3 linked regions of the Schizosaccharomyces pombe genome follow. Changing the gene in region 1 together with any one later gene gives a genetic interaction. Each region holds a gene or a part of one and is shown in the gene's direction. Other genes may lie near its edges.

The links.
Region 2: of pek1 (region 1) and pmp1, extra expression of one rescues a mutant of the other (dosage rescue), as found in Schizosaccharomyces pombe (2 studies listed by BioGRID).
Region 3: mutations in pek1 (region 1) and SPOM_SPBPB7E8.01 together harm fitness more than expected from each alone (negative genetic interaction), as found in Schizosaccharomyces pombe (one large-scale study listed by BioGRID).

What each region holds. Positions count from the first base shown.
Region 1 is NC_003423.3:4,308,874-4,315,319, forward strand, and holds pek1 (MAP kinase kinase Pek1), read left to right. Parts: upstream 1-3,569; 5' UTR 3,570-3,889; coding exon 3,890-4,981; 3' UTR 4,982-5,267; downstream 5,268-6,446. Other genes in the region: bor1 (HC03 family inorganic anion exchanger), read right to left, coding at 1-378, 436-735, 803-951; ATP-dependent RNA helicase Dbp8, read right to left, coding at 1,366-2,473, 2,563-2,686, 2,754-2,883; fit1 (CoA pyrophosphatase (FIT) family lipid storage protein), read left to right, coding at 5,615-6,367. UniProt on the Schizosaccharomyces pombe protein: Involved in the mkh1 signal transduction pathway that plays a role in cell wall integrity. Activates spm1/pmk1 via phosphorylation.
Region 2 is NC_003423.3:491,822-498,267, forward strand, and holds the start of pmp1 (dual-specificity MAP kinase phosphatase Pmp1), read left to right. Parts: upstream 1-4,711; 5' UTR 4,712-4,991; coding exon 4,992-5,828; 3' UTR 5,829-6,446. Other genes in the region: MTREC (exosome adaptor) complex RNA-binding subunit Rmn1, read left to right, coding at 1-12; idh2 (isocitrate dehydrogenase (NAD+) subunit 2), read right to left, coding at 341-447, 498-1,262, 1,417-1,465, 1,513-1,659, 1,763-1,834; gamma tubulin complex linker Mto2, read left to right, coding at 2,921-4,114. UniProt on the Schizosaccharomyces pombe protein: Dual specificity phosphatase that dephosphorylates MAP kinase pmk1 on a Tyr. Has a role in chloride ion homeostasis by inactivating this pmk1 MAP kinase pathway.
Region 3 is NC_003423.3:3,491,102-3,497,547, forward strand, and holds SPOM_SPBPB7E8.01 (uncharacterized protein), read left to right. Parts: upstream 1-3,120; 5' UTR 3,121-3,415; coding exon 3,416-5,125; 3' UTR 5,126-5,676; downstream 5,677-6,446.

The sequences.
Region 1 (6,446 bases):
AGGAAAACATCCCCAACGGGTATTTTCCAAAATTTTATAAACCAGCTTCTAGATAACGTGGGTTCAAAAGCTTTTGTTGTAGGAAGTTTCGCTAAAGAAACTTCCCGCATTTTCCCAATGTGCTGAAACCCACTGAAAAAAATGATGGATGCAACAAGTCCGTAATCAAGAAGTAGAATACGTACTTTGTAACTGAATAAAGAAGATTTTCCTACTGTATCACAAAGCCATCCCACCATTAAAAATAATAAAGCAATAGTAATTGACAGAAATGTATTTGTAAGCCCATACTTTAATTGGTCACAAAGAACTTGAACGCCTTTTTCCAAATAAATAAACGCAACATATAGGCCAAAAATTTCACAGCTGAATTTTGTGCTACAGTTTTCAATTAGCTGGATATCACAAGAACATAAAAGCAAAAAGCGAACTTACATATGCTTTACAAAATAAACCCCATTTGCTATAGCAATGATGAAGTGAAAAATCATTGACCAAAGACAAATCCAGCAAAGGAAAGGGAAATATGGTGTTCCTCTATCATGCATTATATCGTAAACAGTATAATTAAAGACTGTAATAGGCCCTGTAACCCCGACGATGCACAAAGGCTGCGAAGAAAGCAACGCGAAAACAACTGAACCTAAAACGCTGGCAAGTAAAACCTCATTCACCCCAAAACTGTTATTTGTTTTTGCAAACATATCTAAGGCAAATGCTAATTCTGGGAGTAAGCTAGCAAGTTTAGAAAAAGCACGATAAAATGTCAATTGTGATAAATGTATATTTGAAACGCACATACTTTGAAAAATAAATATTTAAACAAGCAGGAAGTACTCGATAATGACATGCATCAATCCAGTCAGATTTGTAATAAGGTAATCGCTTTTTTACATCATTAACAATCTCTGACCCAAAAATGTAATTAAACTTCTTATCCTTTTTATTCATATGATTAGAGATTATTTAAAAGAAAGAAACGAATTGGGTATGGCAGATTTGCTTTTATAATGTTGGTTAGTTATATCATAAAGGCCATTGGGTTCTAATATACCGTGGTATCCACAAATTACGGTAACGGTCTAGGAAGATTGATGCTTTGTAAACAATTACCTGTACTTAAGAATATTTAGAATCAAAATTAATAGGGAGAAATATTAGTCCATAAAAAATATTTTTCCACAATGTCGCAATGTCCACATTCTTTGCATTCTTGTTATAAAATCTATTTCATCGTCACATTTGATAGTTAATGTGGTCAATAAAACCGCAACCTCCTTTAAGTAAACAAAATTTAAATATTATTATCCGTATATATATATACCTTAAACCACTAAAACAACCTTGAACTTCAAAACTTTTATACTACTTTTCCGTAGATAAAGTATTCTTCGCTTTCTTTTTGCGTCCAGAATTTTTTAATTTATTAGAAATACCATTGGCCATCAGCCTTTTCTCGTTTCGCTTCTGTCTCCTTTCACCAAATCCCCTATCGATCATCTCAAGAGAAGCCTGGCGTTTAGCGTCCGTAACTTCCTTGATGTATTCAAGCATCTTATTCTCTGACACGTGTTCATATTCAGAAAGCTTAGTTCCTACTCGATCCTCAATAGCATGGACTAAATCAACATCTCTCTCCGTTACAATGGAAATGGACTCGCCACTGCGTCCAGCACGAGCTGTACGACCTACTCGGTGAATATAGTCGTCTGGGTCACGAGGAAGGTCGAAGTTAATTACTAGTTGCACAGAAGGAATATCCAAACCTCTGCTTGCAACGTCAGTGGCTACCAAAATTTTTGCAGCTTCCGCACGAAACCGTCCAAGTGAATTGATCCTTTCACGTTGTACCATTTCTGAATGAAGTTCGGTGACACGAAGCTCGAGCAATCGAAGAATAGAATATATCAATTCAGCAGTGCGAGTCCGATTTACAAAGATAATTGCAGACTTTTTAGCGTTCTCAGGAATCGTTAACAAATGCACCAAATAAGCTTCTCGTACTTGTGAGGAAACAAATATGTAACTTTGCTGCAAAGTAGAAGGTACGGAAATGTTATCAGTTTCAACTTCGTATAACCAAAGGGGAGGCTTATTATTTTTCTGTGGCTGATATTTGAGCTGACGAATAGCATCAGTAACAGTTGCAGTAAACAAAAGCGTTTGACGATCTTCAGAGGCTGGAAGAACAGAAAAGCAATCATCCAAGTCATCAGCAAAGGTAGGAGACAACAAACGGTCGGCTTCGTCCATTACCAAAAATTTTATTCGACGTAGTCCGGCTATCGTTTCTTCACCATTACTTCTAATCAAGTCAGCTAGGCGACCAGGAGTAGCTACAACAACATGGGGCCGTTTCGATAAATCAATAGATTGTCGTATCATATCCATGCCTCCAACGATGAGCGCATGCTTTAAATTAAGATTAGCACCTAAAGCAGCAAATTGTTCATCAATCTGTATTGCAAGTTCTCTGTTCGAGTTAGCTAATTGTAGTAGAATAGTTAACATTTATACTAATTTAAATTTTAAGAAAAAGTACAATAATGTTATATTTTATACCTGGTTGGTGTCAAAATAAGAGCAAATATTCCTGATGGATCCTTAGACCATTTTTCAATAATAGGCAAAGCAAAAGCAGCAGTTTTACCAGAACCTGTTTTAGCACCTCCAATACAATTACGTCCTATAAATTTTTATTTGTTAGGCACATTTTACACTTAATTTTACTTTATTAATTTTTGTAAGCATACCTTCTAAAATCTGAGCAATTACTCCTTCCTGAATATCTGTAGGTTCATATATTGCAAGTGCTTTTAGCGTATCGATAAGCCATGGCGATATTCCTAAATCAGAGAATGATTTTCTTGTATGTTCTGACATGTTTTCTCCCCGATGTAAGGGTTTTATTTAAATTAAATATAATGGTTACTGTACTGTCAAACCAAACTATTGGGATTCAACTTGTTGCCCTTACTGCAAAATTAACACGCTACGCTACATTACGCTGCTTTAGACATTATTGCTGATGCGACATTTTTCAATGACTTTTAGGTCAACATACACAGATAAAATCTTCATATGGTTAACATAAAGTTTTTATTGTTCTCTAAAATAAGTACAGATAGAACTCAAACTAATTTCTTCAGTTTGCTTGTAAGTTATTTAGTGCTTTTTCGGTAAACCAACGTGCAAAACACAATATTTGAACTTTACGTAGTTAATCGTGTTCTTATAATAGTTAACGGATTGTATGTAGTTATTATAAGCCATAGAAAATCATGCAATGATAAATATATTCTTTTATGTTTTCCTTGAACAAAATTAATTATAATTTTAGAGGTAGACATTTATAGTAAATAAAAGAAGAAAGCTCACAGGATATGATAGTCTCATAATTACATTAACTTATACTCGTAATGAACAATTCCCGAAGTCGTTTTAACAAAGGTCTCACTAATTCTAAAATAACGTATCTACATAGCTAAGTCCATAAGTTATTTAGTGAAGTCCTAATTTAGAAATGTAGGTTATACTAATAATGGTCAATCGTATTTAGTATAGCTTCCGAAAACTATACGATTTCTTCTAATAGAGGCCTCGGTTGTTTGTTTGCGAGGAATTAACTCTTCCATCAAAGTTTCCGTTTATAGTGCTATCCTCTAATTTTCTAATTCAGGAAGCAAAAACTTCAAAAAAGTTTATAATTGGTAGGTTTATTTAGCGGGAAGACCATACGTTAGAATTTACTTTCCTTGCGTTTTTGGAAAAGAAGAATAAAAATTGAAGTTTGTTAAAAATACAAACAAACTTTTGGACTTGGTATCAGTCATCTCTTGTCACTCTTTCTACAAATTGAAAAAATATCGAAGAAAGCGCCCATGCCTCTATGTCCAAAAAACCTGTCTTGAACTTAGATACCAGTAATGGGTTCTCTGAAGAATATATAAGTCATCCTGAACGTAATGACAATCAAGGAATTGTCGAGATTACAGACCTGGTGTTTTCTAGCGAGTCGAAATTAACTCAGCGAAAGGAGAGCCGGGATAGTAAAACATTTGTTCCTTCCTTTCTGGAAGAACTTGATGATGATCACCTACATGAATTGGTTACAAATGGAGGTATTTTGTACATGAACAGTCTAGGTGAAGGTGTTAGTGGCTCTGTAAGGAAATGCAGAATTCGTGGGACTCAGATGATTTTCGCTATGAAAACTGTATTAGCTGCTCCGAATACCGCTTTACAAAAGCAACTCCTTCGAGAGTTAAAAATCAACAGAAGTTGTACCTCTCCTTACATCGTTAAATATTATGGCGCTTGCTACAATAACGCAGAGTGTCAGTTAAACATAGCTATGGAATATTGCGGAGCAGGATCTCTCGACGCGATATACAAACGCGTACGCAGTCAAGGTGGACGCACTGGAGAACGACCATTGGGCAAGATTGCATTCGGTGTCCTTAGCGGTTTAAGCTATTTACATGACAGGAAAATAATACACCGTGATATTAAGCCATCAAATATCCTTCTGACGTCAAAAGGTCAAGTGAAGTTATGCGATTTTGGTGTATCTGGAGAATTGGTTAACTCTCTCGCTGGCACATTCACTGGAACTTCGTATTACATGGCGCCTGAACGAATTTCTGGGGGATCTTATACTATATCGTCAGATATATGGTCTTTGGGTTTAACATTGATGGAGGTCGCATTAAACCGGTTTCCATTCCCTCCCGAGGGTAGCCCCCCACCAATGCCTATTGAATTGCTCTCGTATATAATAAATATGCCACCTCCCCTTTTACCTCAAGAACCCGGTATTAAATGGTCGAAATCCTTTCAACATTTTCTATGCGTGTGTCTGGATAAAGACAAAACTCGTCGTCCTGGACCCCAAAAAATGCTTACCCATCCTTGGGTTAAAGCGTTTGAGAGAATTCATGTGGACATGGAAGAGTTCCTTCGTCAAGTCTGGTCTGATTAGAAGAAATAGTGTCATATGTTAGCACTGTAAGTTGATAAATTCTGTTTGAAAATTCTTATGCTAAATTTCTTTACATTGGAGAATGCATAATCTGATTAATGGCAAAATATTATGAGTCTAACTGTCTTCCAGTTCGCTTGTTGTATGAAATAAATAGGAAAGTCATAATAATATATACTTTTTATTAATTGCTAACGGTTTTTCTAATTTTCTTTATACAAATACCTCCTTTATAGTAATTTTATGGGTTTAACATTTTTAACAGAAATAATTTTGGCTTGATTATGCATACTCAAATCGTAGCGAGAAATGATAGATTTACGCCTTGCTAGCTTTTTAACAAAAATAGGCAAAATAGGCGTTATATGGCAACTTAAAAAACGAAAGAATTCGTATATTTAATTATCCACAATTAAGGACTATTTCTTTTCGTTCTCTTATAACGTGAGGCAATGATTCGTTTTTTTTCTAGTCTACGCACGTAAGTTGGTGGTGTAACTACACCAAACTTCCCAGGGTATACATGTCCTTAACTCTTTCAATGAATTAATTGCTTTTCACTACACCGTTCTATCTTTATTTTTAAGTTTAATTTGTATACGTTGTCTGCCTAATAAAAATTATTTAAAAAAAATGACTGAAAAAACTGCTAGTCATTATTGGAATGAAGAAACCTCTATATTGAAGCTTCGTCGCAAAGATATACTTCTGTTTGAAATATATGCCACTACACTTCTTCTAGGTAGCATTTATAGCATTTATGTTGACAAATGGTCGATTACCTCTTACTTTGGAAACTCGAAAAATTTGATTAATTTGATTTTTGTAAAAAGAGGCTGGTTCTGGACTTCTTTAGTATATTTTTATCATGCTTGGGATCAAAAGAGAAACAAAATTGACTTCAAGTTTATTTCAAGGTATATAGTGGCCACTCTATGGTGGATGTTTGTAACCCAATGGTTTATAGGACCTGGCCTGATTGATAGAACCTTTGCATTATCTGGCGGAAGTTGCAAAAACTTTGATGGTGATTCATCTGTGTTCATTCCACTTACCGCCTCCACTTGCAAGGGATTAAACGGATCTTGGTCTGGTGGTCATGATCTCTCGGGCCATGTTTTCTTGTTAACTCACTCGAGCTTGTTTATGTTGTCTGAAAACTTTTCATTTATTTTGAATAATGGAATAAAAGCTACATCTACTAAAGTACTTTTTGGTCTTCTTGGACTTTGGTGGTGGATGTTATTTGTTACTGCATCCTTTTACCATACTACTTTTGAAAAATGTACCGGGTTTTTCTCTGGTATTTTAGAATGGTCTATTGTTTACGTGTTCTCTTCAAGAATGCCAGCGGTCGCTGATCTTTTAGGATCCTCCGATTACTAGCCTTTACCACCATTTGTCCTTAAACTATGCTTCTAAATGATTGTTTTATATAGTGCAACACTTGTGACATAGCATATCC
Region 2 (6,446 bases), 3.8 Mb from region 1:
AGATGGCGCTAGTTTATTTACTTTTACAAAAGTTTTTCAGAGAATGAATTAATGGGCTGCATTGTATGCGGCTGTCATAAAATATAAGCAACTAATTGATTAATCTTATAGAGTGCAATAAGCATTTCAAAAATGGAGATTTCATATTGAAATATTTGTAACTAACATTTCGATCAATTCGGTTTTTTGATACAAAAGAGTTAATGCTTCCGAATTACAACTCAAATCGTTACACAATTCATTAAAAGTGGTAACAAAAATCGGCTAGGAGAGAAAACTCATGATAAGGAAAGAAACATAAATTCAGTGTTCATAGCAAGAAGTAAACAAAATGGGCATGTTACTTCAGTTTAGAAATAATGGCATCGGTATATTGAACATTGTTTGACTTGCCGCCCAAATCCTTGGTGCGAGCATCGGGATTGTTTGCAAGGGTATCAAAGATAGCTAATGGTAATTAGTAAACAGACAAAATCTTAATTTAGTAAAACACATACCTGATTCGATGCGTTTGGCATAATCATTTAAATTCATGTGCTTCAACATCATTACAGAAGATAACAGTAAAGCAGTAGGGTTGGCTAAACCTTTTCCAGCAATATCAGGGGCAGTACCATGAACAGCTTCAAAGATGGAAGCTTGGTTGCCAATGTTTCCGGAAGGAGTCAAACCAAGACCGCCAATTAAACCAGCGCACATATCAGAAACAATATCACCGTATAAATTGGGCATAACCATAACTGTGTTGTTATAAGGGACAGGATCGGTGACAATCTTCAAGCAGGCGTTATCCAAGATTTCCTCCCTAAGCTCGATATCAGGATATTCAGGTGCAAGCTCCTTGGCGCATTCCAAAAATAAACCGTCAGCCATGCGCATAATGGTAGCCTTGTGGACTACGGTGATGTTGTTCTTGCCAGTTTGGCGAGCATATTGGAATGCATAACGAATAACACGCTCAGATGCTGCGCGAGTAATTAATTTAATCGATTGAACAACGCCTGGTATAACTTCATGCTCGATGCCTGAGTATTCACCCTCAGTGTTCTCACGAATCAAAACGGTATTAACGTTATCATAAGGTGTTTTGTATCCCGTAATAGATACACAGGGACGAACATTGGCAAACAAGCCGAAAGTACGACGCAAAGTAAGGTTCATAGAAACATGACCCTTCCCAATTGGGGTTGCCAATGGACCTTTCAAAGCCACTTTATTTTTCCTAACAGATTCCTTAGCATCATCAGGAATAGTAGTAGTACCTAAACGAATTAGTAAACGTGATTTTCGTGCGCGATAATCTCGAGGAGACATGGAAGGACTTGACAAGCAGGAACAAGCATTGCTGACAAAAACGTATAAAAGAAAGGCCAAACTGCATACAAATCCAACCATCTTCTCTTATACTTGACATACCATTTTTCAAAATAGGATATACTTTTACACGTTCCCATTCGATAGGGACCTACAATACAAGTCGTTAATGACTAAATGACGGATGACTCGACAAACCTTTGCAGCCTTAAATATACGTTCTACAGACTGAGCAATTTCTGGACCAATGCCATCGCCAGCAATCATCGTTACTGTGTAGTTCCCGTTGGCATTCTTTACTCCTTCATATGTCCCAGCGGCAGCCTTCGTTGAAGAAAATCTCTGCTAAAAATAACTCTGTTAATATAATCGATCAAATAATCATGAAAAGACGAGTAAGGCTGCTTAAACCAGCGATTTATCGCTTAGGAGCCAATTCACAACTTACAAAAGAGTAACAGGCGCTTCTTGAAAACGTCCGTAAAGAACCTGCAGTACGTAAAGTAGAAAGCATTGACATTGTTTTTTTATAACTAATGTAGCATGTATGGAGAGTGCAAGATGTCGGACCGTGATATAAACAAAGGATTCCGAGAGTCGTCGCATCATCCTTAATTTGACTTTACCGAATTTTGTGGAGATAGAACGTGGAGTTAAGCAAGGGTAATTGAGTGGAGTTTAACCATTTAGAAAGCCCCTCGAAGCGGAATGAGGAATTGTTATTACATAGCGCTCTTTTTTACTGCATTGTCTATTATTGCGTTATATAGTTTTTAACGATAATTTCAGTAGTACATAATTATTAATGTTGTTTAAAAAACACATCTATTTGGTTCTTGAGGTATATTCAGTAACTAAAGATGTAATTGTCTAAATTGAGAGGATAATTCGACGAATTGGTTTTGCTTGAATTAAAAAAATTGTAATTTTGTAGCTTCACACTGGTGTTATTGATATCTTGACTTTTGTATTGTTCTCAACTGGAAAATTAGTGTTGTCATATACTAGGTGTGCTTTTTTAATTTTTCGGATTATGCTTTATTTTCTCAATTACTCTTCCAAATATATTCATTCATTCAACAAAAAGATGTTTTGCTATTTGTCTTAAATAGTGTAGCATTTTAGAATACGTAGTTCCTATTTCAAACTATCTCAACCATACACTCACTAAAAACAATAACGATTATTGTGTGTTAAAGGCATTTAAAGATTTTTTAGGAATAGTTAAAAAAGCATAGTGACATGTAACGAAGCGTACTGTTTGCCCGCACAGTCGAAGTTGCCGCTTAGAATTAAGCTTCGGTTAATAAAAACTAGCAAGTTATCCTAACGAACTGTGGGAAAAGCTTATTCAGGAAAACTTCGTGGATCCCGTTAAAATACGTTATGATAACTAATAGCGAACTGTCTTGTTGCTGTGTTTTGCAATATTACTTTTAAATAGTATAAGACAGTATGTTAAGTTAGGTTTTCAGAGTGCATACTCTATTCGTTAATTCGTGCTTTCAACTCTTTATCTTTCAAGAGTGCAAGAATCTCTTGCAAATTCGAGCTTGGTCTTGCAACTGTTTATTCTAATCCTCCAGCGTCTTGCTGGTGGTTTCGCATGTCTGAACATAATTACCAGTCTGATAGGGAAGTGGCAGAGGATCCTTTTCTTAATTATGAAGCCTCTGCTAATCAATTATCCTCAAATTCGCGCGAATCTACTCCAAGAGGTTCACCATGGCGCGCTGGTATGAGATCCGCATCTTTAATGACAGAACCTTTAGAAGATTCCATGTATAGCGATAATAATTATTTAGACAATGGGGTCTCTTTTACAAAAGATGAAAATCCTCTTTACTCGCCGTCTTGGCCGAGTTTGGCGGATGCAAACGTGAATTCAATGAAGTCTAATAATGCTATACAGGAGCATAAAGCAGCGAAATTTGTTTCTGAAAAGTCTTTGGAAAAAGTATCGACTGCAGATAATAACCTTGTGCTTCAGGAGCTTGAAAATCTCCGAGAACGCTTAAATCAAGTAGAGCTTCAACTCAGTGAGCGACCCTCTTCCTACTTAGGCTATCATAACAATCTTAGTCCATATCGTTCTCCTAACAGTTACCCTTCTCTTTTACCCTCTACTCATTCACCTCACTCACCGGCGCCGCTAAGCACGATGCAAACGGCTCTTATGCGGCTTCGCACTTATCATCCTTCGCCCATCATTTTAAAGCCCGTAGAGCAAGCTGTAAACCATGCAATCACCTTGGTAAACACCTCTCCATCGAGTGTGGTGGATGCGTTATGCCGAAGCCTTGCCGAATTGTGTCTTGGCTTGGTGCAAGAAGCGATCGATGCATCTATTTTGAGTCAACAGGAAAGCTCAAACTCTTTAGATCTTGTCCGTCATACACCACCATTGAATTATACCAGTTCTGTTGATTCTTCACCACAACGTATGGCCTCTGATAGTTATGGTAGGCCTTCTCTGCATTTAAATGACCCCTTTCCATCAGTTGATCTTCAATCAAATGAACTTTCTCATCATAATGTTAGAACAACTCTCTTTTCTGATGATTCCCGATTTCATTCAAAAATTCATACACATTCTACTCCTCCTTCTCAAATGTATAGTGCTGCATCTCATTTCCGGTACCGTAGCGATCCATCAACCCGTCATGTCTCGAATTCTACAAACAAATCGAGCTTGCATCCATCACCAACGTCTTTGCGAGTTGCTCATCCTATTATCCCCCAGAGGGCGTCTCCAGCATCACAGTCTTTTCCTTCTCTTCAAGACACTCCTTCCCCCTAGTTCGGCCTATTACAAGTTTAATTTTGAATCAATTTTTCTTTGTGTTTATCAAGTAAATCAGGTTCTTCTCATACATGTAAGTTCATACAAACATTGATTGAGGAGTGCTATCATTTAATTTGTCGTCCCTCTCGTACAAGTTTTTATTTTTTTTATATCGCTCATTTCTTTAAGAAGTTGCTAATCCTACTAGGACGTCTATTTTAATGTTATTGGATCTGGCTGCATCTCTATTTGCTGCATTGCTTGCTCAAACTTTATAGTATGAGAACGTCTTAAAATTTGAGGTTTTGTTCATCTTCTCATCAATGCTATTTTTTTAAAATTGATAATTCAGTGCAGATCTTTTCATTATTTAACCATATACGATAATTTAGATTTGGGAAGTGGATGTCTTCTTCGCAAGACGAAATGGTACATTGTGTTTAATTAGCTTTATTTCGCACCTGATTTATAAAATGAATCAGATAATTTAACTCGTTACTGTATTTACTTTTAGTATCTTTCTATATTCAAGTTTACCAACTTGTTAAAATGCGTTACCTCTGTCACCTGTAGAAAAGCATCAAATGCTGTAGCTTGGTAGGAGCTCACAATACTTCCATACATCTTTTCAGTCTATCATCAATTATTAGAACACTGAAAATTTGTATTCTCCAGTTATCTTCTTGCAAGTTAAATATTATAGAGGAAGCTAAGTTGAAATGGTTATTGGTGCCATGAATGTTTGAAGGTAACTCACAAAATGAATTCTGAATCAGCGAAAGAAAATGCAGAAGAGCAAATTGAAACGAAAGGACGTGCATTGAAGTCCTCAACAAATATAGAACGAAAAGAGTCTTCCTTACAACCGCTTCGATCAAAACTTCCTTTGAGAATGTCTCAAAAACTACCTCCCTTAAAAATTTACACCTCCCAACTTCCCCTGGTTTCCCACAAAAATATGTTGGAAAACGAAGAGGAAGCTAGTCATTCACAATTGTTTACTCCGTGTCCTGTCCCTCCATCTTTCCCGAAAGCATCTAAACCCAATTCTAATCAGCCGTACCCCAATGGCCCTGTTTGTATCTATCCCCCAAATATTTACTTATATGCCAAACCTACTATGCCCATTATTCAATCTTTTGATGTTGTTATAAACGTGGCGAAGGAAGTTTTGCATCCATTTCGCACTGATGGCCGTCATTATAGAGATTCTAAACATAACCTGGACATTCAAGTATTTGATCACATCGAATATGTTCACATTCATTGGGATCATGATACACAGTTTGCTTTGGAACTTGATAAGCTTGTTTCTTTTGTAGCTTACAATGCCATGCAACTTAACAAAAAGGTTTTAATTAATTGTCAAATGGGCATTTCTCGCTCTGCTTGTTTGATGATCGCGTTTATAATGAAGACATTAAACCTAAATGTTTCTGATGCTTATGAGTACGTTAAAGAACGATCTCCATGGATAGGTCCCAACATGTCTTTGATTTTTCAGCTTTCAGAATATCAACAAATTATTCGTAAAAATTCTAGTCAAGGTCCCTATCAATCGTCATCCTTGAAACAATCCAAAAGGAAATCTGAAGGTAATTTGCTTTTCCCTGAAAAGCCTCATAGTGCACAACTGCCTCTTGTTAGCCCGTCCACGTCTGAGTCAAGTATGTTCACAAATCTTCGAAGAACTCGAAGTAGCGGCAGTATAAGTAATGATGCTTCTTGACAATGCCAATTATTTATAAATACATAAAAAAAGGGAAATTTTGTCTATTCAAGTTCCGTTGTAAGTTGGTTTTTATACTCTTCCTTATGGGTCTTAATTCTAAGCTTATCAGCTGCTTTTAAAAAATATCCACTTTATTATGAAGACTTACGGGTCGCTCGTCAGTTATTCATATCATTCGTCATGGACTTTTTTACAGTTTGCATTGCTCGCTTCCAATGTATAGTTATAATTCTTGTTTAATACTTAGCTTGCAGATGTTTTATCGTTCTATGTTGCGAATTTGTATTTACCTCAGTTTTTTACTTCTAGTCTTTGGTTCTGGGTCGGTTTGTTTACCAATGAAAAAAACTAGAGTTTTCATGTCATTTGTCATTGTTATTGAGTGAAATTTGTGCGTCGTGTTATTTTCTAATTCATTATTCTATTTTTATGCTATTTCCTTGTTATTATTACTAAACTTAATATGAGGTTGTGAATATTTATTCAACATCATCAGTATCTATTCTTATTCCCAGTTAAAATGATGTCCCTTCTTATCAGCAACACGGTGTCTTTAGTTGATATAAAGCATTCCTTCAATCGTTAGAAATTTGTAAATTTCCGAGTTTACGATTC
Region 3 (6,446 bases), 820 kb from region 1:
AATTTAGAGAAAATTTTTTTTTACTCTAATTTTTTCGCTCATAAAAATTCGCAAGCTTTTATATAGTGTTTATATGTTAGTTTCACTTCTCATTCCTTTTAGCGTCATTAAAAAAAATCGCAAATTCAAAAAAGCCCTTTTAATTTCAAAAATATTATTATTCCTATAAATTAATTCTATTATTTATTTTATTTTTTTTTTTTTAAATTAAAGAAAGTTTAAATGAATGGTATGATTTCCCATTCATAACTCATCACTTCACTTTCTTTGTTAGGCTTAATTTCCAGGAAGCCTTCTACATCATTTCAATTTGAGCCCTGCAACAGAATGAGGAAAAATATTGAATTAGTGATATATAGATGTTAAAACAATATTTCCTTTAATACTATCTTCAAAACCGTAGGTATGTAGTATGCCTATCCTTTTAAATATTCACTTTCTTTGTTCTCCATTTTTCCTATCTGATCAGTTTAATGCACTCCGCAAACTTTCGTAAACACATTTAAGCTATGAAAAGCGAACAAATTGTTTGACTGCACCTCGAAATCTAAACCTTTAATTCTTAGTTTATTTGCTAACTAGCCCAAAACGTCCAATTGCGTCCTATATTCTCGTTTTTTTCACTCTATTAGCTGTTTCAACTTCCTACTGCATATAGTAATTTTTATTATCTTAAATAATTTAGTAACATCTTTGTACAGCAATACTGCGAAATAGCGTTCTCCTAAGAATCCCATAGTAAGGCACAGATATGCACACTATTGTTAATTGATTCTCTTACATGTCATGTCATTTTAATAAAGATAGCCAGATTTCTTTGTTTTAAACAACAAAGAAAGTGGATTCTCCCCATTTTTATGTAATTGATAATAATCGTTTTGCGAAATGATTTGCTAGTTATATTTAAGTTTAGCCTATTAATAGCATACGCTACCTCGTCTATTGATGAACACTTCTATTGATAGGTTTCGCTTAGCGGTTGTCCACTCGATTTGTCTTTGTGAAGGAGCATTCGGGTACACATATTTCTGTACCTGTTATAAATAACTTGCCTAGCTGTTACAAACATACATATATATATATACCTTTGAATTCCCATTCACAACCTCATTTTCCAAGTATGTTCTCTGACTCTTACTCAAGGTGAAATCTTTGTGGATCGTAGACAAAATGTAGCTTAAGAAAATCTGGTGATTTCTGCAGTCTTATTTATGTGAATAATTTTGTTCGCCTACTCCGGTTTATTCAAACCAAAAAAACTCTGTCAAAAAAAGGCATCATTTTTTGCTTGCTTTAAATCATTTGCATTATCGTTGAATATACCAATAGAAAAACCTAAGCGTTGTTAAATGAATAAAACGACACTTCTGTATGAAAGCTTCGTTGCTTCCTATATTACCATGTTTCAAGGAGATTCGTTGATATACATGGATCAAATTTAGGAATTGCCGGATAAAGCTATGTTCATTTATCCTATTGAGAATGCAAAGGTCCTGATAGTAAATTTTTTTTTTCACCTGAAATTACCGTTTTTCAATTACCTGAACGAATCATGCTTTAATGCTCTCCATTAAGCATCAGTGCTGGATATTAGTTTTGGGAGTACTTCCGCAAAAACGGATCGAAATCCATGTTTCCGTCTGTGTGCTAGTCGTCAATCGCCCTGATACCGATCAACTACTCCAATAGTTAGTTGCTTTTCCCAGCGTCCAGCAAATTGAGCTAGCTAGCTGTCAACTTAATTAGAAGCAATTGTGACGACCATTTATCATTAAACAGAATTAAAATGCACGATATTGCAATTCTTTGTCTCTAGATGCAAAACCTTCAAAAGGAACGGAATTAAGTTAGTTCCGTTTTTCGTTAACCAGCGTCGTTGGTGACCGAAGTGCGAAAAGTTGCATAAACTTTGTTTTTTTTCTATTACAACATAATTTATTTCCAATTGTTTTAAAAACGTGTCTTTCAATGATTCAATTCTTCCCTACAAAATTTTTTTCTGGGAAGACGAATGTCAATTGGATAGGATTCCCACGTTCAAGTAATCGGAAGAAGTTTGACAATGAGCAACATGCATTCAACGATTATTGATTAAAATTCGGTGTTTGTAAAACGATCATAAGTAAGGAGAATTAAAACTGTGTCTATTTTTGGGAATTGAGAGATTGCTCCGTAGGCTTGGTAGACTAATGTTATTAACCTTCATTGTGTCTAGTCATTTTGGGATGCAGACTGTTCTGGATTATAATGCTAACCATTTGTCAATATCAAGAGACTTTCCCTAAATTTACATCCATGTACGATTTCGGTATGAAATTAAAAATTTCTGCAGTCACGTTCAGTTAGTCGCGCCTTTCATTACTCATTTTTTTCACTTGAAAATAAAATATCGCTAATTTTGAAAGCGCGCATGGAGTTTCACTCTTCCGACTTTCGCATCTAGTTTACCATAATTTTTAAGAAAACTGGTTTTACTGAGTTCATGAACGTTGTATTAAAAAGGCTTCAATTATCTCTATCTACTAAATGCAATGTAGAAGGTGGCAGGATTGCGCACGGACTTGTTTTACGATGCTTACGAGATATCGCTTGACTTTTTGGTTCACGGTGGACTCTTTACAACAGCTGATTTTCCATTCCACTAAACGAGCTGATAGTTAAACTGTCCGCATCTTCAAGGATTTGCAAGGGTCAACCTACTATCCAACCTCTTTCTTGGTTTCCGTGACTGCTCTTTGCTGGTAGCAAATCGATACTGACTATGCTTTGGCCAAGCCGAGGTGCACTTGGTTGATAAAGGAAGAGGATTTTTTTCCACCAATTGCGGATATATTTTAACTTTTGGACCGAAACCAAGTGGAAATTCCCTCGATACTTCGCTTTTTATGGTTAAGCATGTTAAAACATTACTTCCTTACATTTTATTGAGTATTTAGCGCAAATGAATCACTGCGCTGGCGGATCTTACGTGGTGAGAGAGCGGCACTTTTGTTCATCTATCGCATGAAAATGCTGGCTGCATTACGCAAGGTCATGTGCTGGATTTTCTACCAGTCCTCAATTATCTGGCGGTTTTTAAATCGCAAAAGTATATAAACAACCTCGACTGTCATCGATTTCAACATCATTTGTACACGATCTTTTCTAACTGAAAGCGGTTGTTGAGTTTTCATTCTTTTGCTCATACAATTCGTTTACAATTGGAAGTTAATTACTACTTCCTTTTGTATTAGATTTTTTCTTAACTTTTACTTTTTTGGTTTTTTTCTTTTTTAGAGTTTTTTTATTCTTCTTGATTTTTGAAAACGCTTGTTTTATTTGTGTTTTCTATAGTCCTTTGTGTTCTTTTTTTTTGAATTGAAATTAATACCCGCCTTTCTTTTTCTTTATTCTCGTTAATTTTTTTGAAGTCACGATGTCACTTCTTGTTAAGGCTGCTTTGATTTTGAAATGTGCTAGTATGCTTCAGGGTGTTTCTGCACAGTATTTCTGCCGTGATACTACTTTCGACAAGAGAACTTTGGAGTCGGTTCGTTTCGAATCGGAATGTATTCCCACTGTTAACAAAAGGGACTTGGATCCTAATGCTGAAGGTGTCTACAAGCGGTCTTTTGACGGAAATATGAACCCTTCCGATTTCCAATTATTACCCCTTGCCCCTCGTGATGGCGCCATTGTCAACGTTGACAAGGAATCATTCAGCAAGCGTTCAACCACGAACATGTTTGATTTTAACTTTTCTTGCTATTTCGGTTCTGATGGCCATAGCAATGACACGTTATGTCAGCAATACATTGATGTAGCTGACTCCGTGGGTGAACAATTCTCACGTGTGCTTAACCTTAACACCCCAATTGTTATCGATGTTACCGTTGTTGGTGCTTGTACTGGCGAGTCTGTTTGTTCCCAGGGTCAAGGTATGGTAGCAGGCAGTATTGGCGGTGAAGCTTCTCCTTCTCGTGAAATTCCCATGGCTTGCAGTGATGGTTTAACTCGTTATTATCCTCAGGCTGTAGTTAAGCAACTTGGTCTTTCTGATCCTCCTTCATATGCTGACAGCGATATTACGATTGCCCTGAACGCTGATGCTAATTTCTACTTTGGCTCTGGTGATATGGGCTACGAAGCAGTAGATTTGGCTTATGTCCTTTTCCATGAAATAACTCATGGTCTTGGTTTCTCAACTGGATGGGGTGTATTCGGATATGAGAATCTCACTGATCCTTATATGAACGCTCTTTTACCCACTGTCTCATATGTTATTGGTGAAATGAATGGAGAAACTATGTATGCTTTCCATGATGTTATTGAGAATGCTTTTGACAGGAATATTTTTTATTCTATCGACCCTAATGAGGGATTACCTACCATTGCTGAATTTTTCCATAGTGTCGGTGCTGCATTTACCCTTAAGGCTGACTCCATTGCCGGTGTTGTTGCCCAGATGAATGATACAACTACTCAGTTCCATATCCAAGCTAACGAAGCTTACCGCAAGGCCATTAATCCCGGTAGATTGGTTATCTACCCTGATGCAGGCATTGACACCTATTCACCTTTTATTTACTTGGATTCTTCCTATGTTCCATTTTCATCTGGATCATCTTTGTCTCATGTAGCTCTTCATCATTATGATTGTGAGCCCAACTTTTTGATGCGTGCTTTCTATACTGCTGGCGCTACTCTTGAATCCTACATCGAGTGTGCTTATGGAAGTGATCAAGCCGATGTCGCTTACGGTCCCATCGGTCCTGCTATGCGTACTGTCTTCAGACGTATGGGCTACTCGGTCAACAACCTTACTGGTGTTACCAACGAATATAGCGAGAGCTTGGCTAAGAGATCGTTGTCTGAAAAACCCAAGACTGCTCCAACTGGTAAACAGCTTGCTCTTCATCCTTTGAGAAGAGAGACATCTATCTTGGATTCAACCAACACCACTTCTACTAATGCCACCAACACTACTACAACTACCTCATCAAGTTCAACTGCTTCATCATCTGCTTCTGCGTCTAGTTCAACATCCGCCACCTCTGGAGCAGCTGGTGATTTGTTCAGTGTTTCCAAGAATTTGATGATGACTTTGACTGCAGGATTGTGCTTGATTACTGCAAGTTTGTTTTAACGCGGTTGATTTTCAAATTGAATCTTCCTGATGTATATTACTATATAATAAAGCTTTAAATTAGCTGTTAGTGAGATTTTTATGATTTGGCCATCAAAGTCAATTAATTTTTATTGCTAGGAGATGATACTATTAATGACGATATGAAGCCTTGTTTAATACTTTGTTTTCTTATGCAAACGCGAAACACTAGTTTTATTTTGAAGATTGCTACTAAATTATAATTTTGGTTGATAACTGTATCAATATACCTTGCACATATTTCTATAGAATTTCGATCTGCCCTTTTGTTTGTTAAGTTATAAAAACATTTTATCTTTTTACAAGATACTTTACCCGAATTGTGTGATTATAATTCCGTTGCTTTTTAACCGACGTGATGATGTATATTTTATATATATGCCTCTATAATAGTGTTTGGGTCATTTGTCTCACTCAAATTTTCGTGTGTATTTTACAAACACTTAATATTTTTTTTTTTTAACTCTTTAATGAAGGGAATGCTTTCAGTTTTACGCGAACGAAATTTAATCGATTGATGTTTTTGTTTTAATCTTAGTTAAGTCGCTGTAAAAAAGTAGTGTGATAGAAGGTACTTTGTATGACGATAGAGCGGTAGATGCGATTAATATTGTGAGAGTGAGTTTTGTTACAATCGGATGACATGTGTAAAAAAATCCTATATACTAAGATTGATATGGTGATGAATTTAAAAATATGCATTTTTGTGAGTAAATAAATTATATTAAATGTGGGAAAGACATGTAAACACGGTAATGGAATATATAAATATATATATATATATATAATGTTTGCTAGCACATTTATTCACTATAATTGATGGCTGTATAAGAGACAACGGTTTTAACGTTTAAAAATCTTTCGTTATATAGAAATTGTCTCCGTCTTAAGCACTAACGATCGTTACGAGCGGTCCCGCGCTTTTGTCGTTGATCTGATTGACACAATGGGCGGCATTTGTGCTTCGATTATCGTCGTCATATGCTTGAATGGTGTGAACGCCAGATGTTAAAATGCAATAACCATCAGCAACCTTATCCGAAAGTAGTCATAGCCGAAAATGGGCTTTTCCAGCAGAATTAAAGAGGGAAGCGAATAAATCGGCTAGTAAATACTGTGGGTATAGTGATTGAGAAGACGACGTGGACTTTGTTCAATTCTTATCCTTCAGTAAAACACACACTCGAACAGCGAGTTCTCTCTGCTTCCATATAACGATTCGTTATTAGTAGCATCGAGTTTCTGGGCAATACTGTATATTTTGTTGATGCATTTATACGGTACGTGGATGAATGTCACT